Macaca mulatta: one gene and its partner. The protein of the gene in region 1 purifies or fractionates together with the protein of each later gene. This does not show direct contact. Links are inferred from orthologs where the notes say so. Each region holds a gene or a part of one and is shown in the gene's direction. Other genes may lie near its edges.

What was found.
Region 2: the proteins of NAF1 (region 1) and NOP10 purify together in Homo sapiens (co-immunoprecipitation; 6 studies listed by BioGRID and IntAct, with this or other methods). This does not show direct contact. The link is inferred for Macaca mulatta from reciprocal best matches to the Homo sapiens genes NAF1 and NOP10.

The regions. Positions count from the first base shown.
Region 1 is NC_133410.1:171,742,998-171,746,497, reverse strand, and holds part of NAF1 (H/ACA ribonucleoprotein complex non-core subunit NAF1), read left to right. Parts: intron 1-1,109; coding exon 1,110-1,270; intron 1,271-3,500. UniProt on the Homo sapiens protein: RNA-binding protein required for the maturation of box H/ACA snoRNPs complex and ribosome biogenesis.
Region 2 is NC_133412.1:11,535,689-11,539,047, reverse strand, and holds NOP10 (H/ACA ribonucleoprotein complex subunit 3), read left to right. Parts: upstream 1-1,451; 5' UTR 1,452-1,507; coding exon 1,508-1,561; intron 1,562-2,470; coding exon 2,471-2,611; 3' UTR 2,612-2,859; downstream 2,860-3,359. Other genes in the region: NUTM1 (NUT family member 1), read right to left, coding at 882-963. UniProt on the Homo sapiens protein: Required for ribosome biogenesis and telomere maintenance. Part of the H/ACA small nucleolar ribonucleoprotein (H/ACA snoRNP) complex, which catalyzes pseudouridylation of rRNA.

The DNA.
Region 1 (3,500 bases):
AGGTTTTTAAAAAGGGACAGTATACAAAACTACAGTATGGTCGTAAAGAAAAAATAACATATTAAAAAAAAGACTGGAAAAATCTGTACTGGCATTGGTCATGGTCTTATCTCTATAATATACATATATTATCTCGCTCTTGTCCACTAGGCTGTAGGGCGATGGCACAATTGCGGTTCACTGCAGCCTCTGCCTCCTGGGTTGAAGCGATTCTCTTCTGTCAGCCCCCTGAGTAGCTGGGATTACAGGTGCCTGCCAGCATACCCGGCTAATTTTTGTATTTTTAGTAGAGATGGGGTTTCACTATGTTGGCCAGGCTGGTCTTGAATCCCTGACATCAGGTGATCCACCCGCCTCGCCTCCTAAAGTGCTGGGATTACAGGAGTGAGCCACACCACACCCAGCCAGAAAATATATTTTTTAATTCACGTATTTTGAGAAGAAAATACAGTTTGAAACCAAGAGGTTTCCTTTCATTATTCTTAAAACGTTTTCAGAAGTAAAATATGTGGTTCTGCTAAAAGCAGTTCTTTTAGTTAAATGTTAAAGGCTGCACCATCTTTGTGTTTTTTAAACGTAAATAACTTCCACTTTATTATTTGTTAAATTAGAAAAAGTCTTTAATTTTACAAAATTCCTCACACTATGGAAACAGCAAAAGCGATTTAACACCTATTGAAGTTAGAAGCTTGCTTTTATATTTCCCATCTGATGATTCCAAATGTATACATGTTATTTCTCAAAAGTTACCAGTTACAATCCTTTTCTTTGTACCTTACAACTTAAATGAACAATAATTTTAAAAAATCATAATTTGCATCTAGTTGGTACCACCAAAATGATTTGAATTTGGTGAGGAACAAACTTGTTACTGTTGTTTTTACATTCATAGAAGGGAAATCTGGAATGAGCGAGTGCATTTTAATCAATACATGAAGACTGAGTATGTAAAAATGACATAAATATAAATAAAAATTATTTTATTGCCCTAACATTGACAAAATTACCTTGTTCTAGCAATTATCAGTGGGATTTTTAAAAGAAAACACTGCTAACTTTTCAAATAGTTATTTTACATGTTAAAAGAGGACTTTGTGTTTCTATTACAGATATTTGAGATATTTGGACCTGTTGCACATCCATTTTATGTGTTACGGTTTAATTCTTCAGATCACATTGAGAGTAAAGGTATTAAAATAAAGGAGACTATGTATTTTGCTCCATCAATGAAAGATTTCACCCAATATATATTCACAGAAAAACTTAAACAGTAAGTACTTTACTGCCATGTTGTTCTTCACTTACGTAACTTATATTTCAAGAATAATTCTCAGTGATTTAGTTTCTTATAGTTATATTGTGTCTCCCTTGCAAAGAGTTCATTTATCTTCCTAACAATATCTTTGAAGCCTACAATTTATTTTCAGATTTTGTACGTAGAACTCATATCTTTTGCAAAAAATGAAATAATCAGCCATTACGAGCACATTTGAGCCTTGTACACTATCTGATTCTAGTTCAGTGTTTTTTCCATTATATACTTTCTTTAATGTACTTGCTATTTTAGTATTAGTACTAATATTACTATCATTTCTTAATAACTTTTTTTTCAGTTAAGTAAAATTCTCTTGGGATTCTATTTAGAGACCTTGCTCTTCAATAAAACTTAATTTTCAAGAGAAAAAAAATGAGTATATCTCTTTATTTTGCTTATAAATTGTAAGTTTGTAGAGAGACAACTAACACGTGTCCCTGAAGAATTGTGTAGAAAGCCATGGTGTATGGAGTTGACCTAACCAACAAACCAGTGCTCTCCATTTTCTTTACAAATAATGCTAAGTGATTTCTGTGGCATGTGACCAGCAATTTTTTTATATTTTTGCTCCCATTGGTTGAATATTTTTCAAATGTTAGCTGTTGCCAGCTGTTAGTCGTAAAGCTGTTTGTATCAGTTGAACTTGTTTTAATTATGTTATTTAATTTTTTATATCATCAGATAGCATATGAATTTAAGTAGAATAGATTTTTTTTAATAAAAATAACTTGAATGCTTTCGAATGATGTAATGAATATGAGCCGCAAAAAATATTTTCAGATTGGGAGTGGAAGAAAAGACTGCCAAAGATTGGGGGAAGGTTAAATCCAGAAAGACTTTGCACTCAGTTTGACAAAGAAGTTCCTTTTAGTTCTAGCTCTTCTTTTATTGGAAACTTAAAACCTAGGCGATAGATTTTTATAGATGCTGTTTTTGCAGGAAAACAAAGGAGCTTTGGTCACTGAGTAACTTTGATATTATGTCAAAGGTACCAGCCCCAGTTGCATGGCATAAGAAGATTACTTATGCCACTTACATATTAAATAAAGTCTCAAGTCACCAAATTTCATTTATTTCAGAGATGAAAATTTTAGTCCTGATAATTGATTTAACTCATGTTTAAGAATCTACATAAAAATCTGGAGGAATATTTTGCCTAAGTTATTCTTCAGACTGCATAAGGTTATTTTCCTAAATAACACTGACAAGAAAGATGAATTAAATAGACACAAAGCCTTCAAGATATTAATATATTCTAAAATGCTTTAAATATTTAGCATTTCATCCTGTTTTGAATATAAAGATACTGCTGTGGATATGCCACATATGCAGCTTTTTAACAAATAGAGTATTTTAGCTTAAAACAGATAAACTTGAAGAGGTTTTCTGAAGATGGTTTTTAAATAGATTTTAAATAATAGATTCAGTCTTTGGTTTTGATTTGCAGTTCTTCTATTAAGAAGTAGTAGTAAATCAATGAAGTGGGAAATTAGACCTATATTTCAGAAACCTCCCTCCCCCAGGAAAACTGTTGTATTCTAGACTGCATTTTGGCGTCTGTCATGGGAACTCGGTGGAGGACTTTGTCTTTGAGGTAGAGAAGTTCAGCTCCTTTCAAGCTTACTGTTCTCTGATGAGGTTATTTTGATCTTAGTTTCTCATGTACTTACTGTCTTGTTAAAAGTGCTTTTTGAAATGTTGCTTGATCTTTCCATTAGAGATTTTGATTTTTTGTAATAGATGCAGTAGTTGGGGAATTTTTCCCATTTATGCCTGTGATTCCAGGCTAACAGCAGTCCAGATCATGAGATGTCACGTATGCAGAAAGGAATACCAGAGCTATATTTAAGGCGCATGTGTGAAATGACAATTGAGGAAATGCTTTTTTTCTTTTAAGTGATGGAAAAGTCATTGATACTCATATATAATGTCAAAGTTCTGAATCAAAAATTTAAAGCAAACTTAACAACTTTCATGTTGTGCCAGCAAACTGACATCTGTACATTGATTTTAATGGCCTTAATTCCTGGGAATCTTATTTTTGAGATCTAGTTTAAAACAATAAGGACATCTAGTCCTAATACTTTGTAATATTTTACTTTGTGATATTTTAACATAATGGAATAACAAAATAGCACTTGAAACTATGAAATTAACAAAATTAAAAAGATTAAAAATGAGCTTT
Region 2 (3,359 bases), on another chromosome or scaffold:
TTGTGAATACTTGCAGAGATTTTTTATTCAACTACAAGTAAATACAAACCATATCTTTTTTTTTTTTTTGGGACAGGGTCTCTTGCTCTGTCACCCAAGCTGGAGACCAGTGGCGTGATCTCAGCTCACTGCAACCTCCGCCTCCCGGGTTCAAGCGATTCTCCTGCCTCAGCCTCCCGAGTAGCTGGGACTACAGGTGACCGCCAGCACGTCCCGCTAATTTTTGTATTTTTATTAGTAAAGACGGGGTTTCACCATATTGGCCAGGCTGGTCTTGAACTCCTGACCTTGTGATCCACCTGTCTCGGCCTCTCAAAGTGCTGGGATTACAGGCCTGAGCTACTGCACCCGGTCACAAACCATATTCTTTTTTTCAGACGGAGTGCCACTCTGTCACCCAGGCTGGTGTGCAGTGGCGCTATCTCAGCTCGCTGCAACCTCTGCCTCCCCGGCTCAAATGACTCTCCTGCCTCAGCCTCTGAAGTGGCTGGGACTACAGGCGCCCACCACCACACTCAGCTAATTTTTTCTGTATTTTTAGTAGAGACGGGGTTTCGCCAGATTGGCCAGGCTGGTCTCGAACTCTTGACCTTGTGATCCGCCCGCCTCAGCCTCCAAAAGTGTTGAGATTACAGGCGTGAGCCAACGCGCCCGGCCAAACCATATTCTAAAAAAAAAAAAACCTTGCAGGTTTTTCTGGTTACACAACATATATGCCAACGCTTTTGTCATTATAAATAAGGCGTAATGATGATCTTTGTAATTATATTTTGGTTCTCATTTTCATTTCTTTAAACGAATAAGGAGAACTTCTATATTCTTTAAAAAATTGTAAAATCTCCTAGAAGGTGCACTTTATTACGCTATTATTAGCTACTCACCACTATAAGAAAGAGCGCTGAATTTGCGGTAGGGACCTAAGTTTAAATCTTGGTTCGACCGCTGAAACATACTTCGTTTCATAAAATAACTTTACGCTATTTTCGCTTTACGGAATATTGATACTCAACATGCATTCTTTACCGCCAACGCTTTGAAATGGAGCAGGGAAACTGGATGTAAAAGAGGGGAGGGAAGAAAACCTCTTCCTTCTTCCCTAGGGCAAAGGGGCTCTGAATCCTGGAGCCCTTGTTTCTTCAGGCACTGGAAACTCACTGCTCCTGAAAGGGGTGTGTATCTTGAGATAAAGACAAGCTTCTATACGTCAATGTTCTATCCACATCCATCCCTACCCCCCTCTAGCGCCGTGTACCTAGCACACAGTAGGCACACTCCACGTGTTTTAGCCTGCAAAGTTGCAAGTGTGGCCCCCCAAGCCAAGCCCTGCCCTCGTGCGCCCCCTTCTGGCTAGCTGAAAATAAGGCAAAAATTGACTACATTTTCCGGCGTGCCAGGAGAGAGACTTCCGGCTATGCAGGAAGGAAATTGACGAACACGTGACGCGGTCGGGCGGACCCCTGCAGACGGAGCAGCGGAGCGAATTGGGACCTCTGGCTTACGAGCAGTCATGTTTCTCCAGTATTACCTCAACGAGGAGGGAGATCGGGTCTATACGCTGAAGGTGAGGAGAGAAAATAGGTTGTAAATAGGCATGGCGAGAAATGTAGATGGGAGGAATGGGTGAGGCCATACACGGAGTTACCTAGCTGGGTGGAGGGAACCAGAAAGTGCAGAACCGAGGTGGGGGAGAACCGGGAGCGCGCGACGAATTTTTTATTTTAAAAAAACAAAATTGGCCGGGCGCAGTGGCTCACGCCTGTAATCCTAGCACTTTGGGAGGCCGAGGCGTGTGGATTACCTTAGCTCAGGAGTTAGAGACTATTCTGGGCAACACGGTGAAACTACGTTTCTACTAAAATACAAAAATTAGCCGGGCGTGGCGGCGTGCGCCTGTTTTCCCAGCTACCTGGGAGGCTGAGACAGGAGAATCGCTTAAACCCGGGAGGCGGAGCTTGCAGTAAACCCGGATAGCGCCATTGCACTCACTTTTCTTTTTTTTCTTTTTTTTTCTTTTTTTTTTTAAGACAGGGACTCGCTTTGTTGCCTAGGCTGTAGTGCCTCGGCTCACTGCAACCTCCGCCTCCTGGGCACAAACAATCTTCCTGCCTCAGCCTCCCGAGTAGCTGGGACTACAGGCGTGCGCCACCACACCTGGCTAATTTTTGGTTTAGGGTTTTTTTGTTTGGTTGGTTGGTTTTGTTTGTTTGTTGTAGAGACGAGGTTTCGCCATATTGCCCAGGCTGGTCTCAAACTTCTGACCTCAAGCCATCCTCCTGCCTCGGCCTCCCAAAGTGCTGGGATTACAGGCGTGAGCCACCGCGCCCAGCCTTTTTAAGTTTTGTATTTCTCTATTTATTTGTACAACTTTTTGAGCTGATCATTGCATCTTCTGTTTTCATGTTTGCCCTTTTTCGCGCTGTCCCCACCCCATCACTCCTGTACTGACATACATTCTCTATTCCCGGAGCAGAAATTTGACCCGATGGGACAACAGACCTGCTCAGCCCATCCTGCTCGGTTCTCCCCAGATGACAAATACTCTCGACACCGAATCACCATCAAGAAACGCTTCAAGGTGCTCATGACCCAGCAACCGCGCCCTGTCCTCTGAAGGCCCCTTAAACTGATGTCTATTCTGCGGCCTGTTACCCCTCGGAGACTCCGTAACCAAACTCCTCAGTCTGTGAGCCCTGATGCCTTTTTGCCAGCCATACTCTGTGGCATCCAGTCTCATCCTGGTGATTGAGCATGCTTGTGTGAGGCAGTCATGGTGGCATCACCCATAAAGGGAACACGTTTGACTTTTTTTTTCGTATTTTAAGTTACTACCAGATTATTAAAGATAAAATGATTTGAAAAGCTCTTATTTTGTGTTGTTGGAGGAAAGGATTGGTAGTATTGTTTTAAAGGGAGGGAGATGATGGACGAGAGCACTCCAGAGAGTTGCAACAACACCACTTGGAAGAAAAACTTCAGTCCTGTAGCAAGAGTGGTCATGTGCTGTTAGTGGTAGGAGGGTATTGGGGAAGAAAGATTAAGACTTTCACAGCTGTCAGCATTCACTGAAAAATACCCCTGTTGTCACGTAATTTCTCATCCCTTGAAATAACATTTTGATTAAAAATGGAAGAGTACTTGAAAAAGTAATAGGTATATTATAGAGAGAAGGCAGTGAATTGAAAGAAGACCAATATTTCCTTTTTGTATAACTTTGAGAAAGTTACTTAACCTGTTTAGTCTGATTTTTCTCCTTATTAACTTATCTTTGAACTCATTGATTTAGTGGTGGGCTTTTTTTTTTTTTTTTAAGACAGTCTCACTCTGTTGTCCAGGCTGGAATGCAGTGGTGGCTGACTACA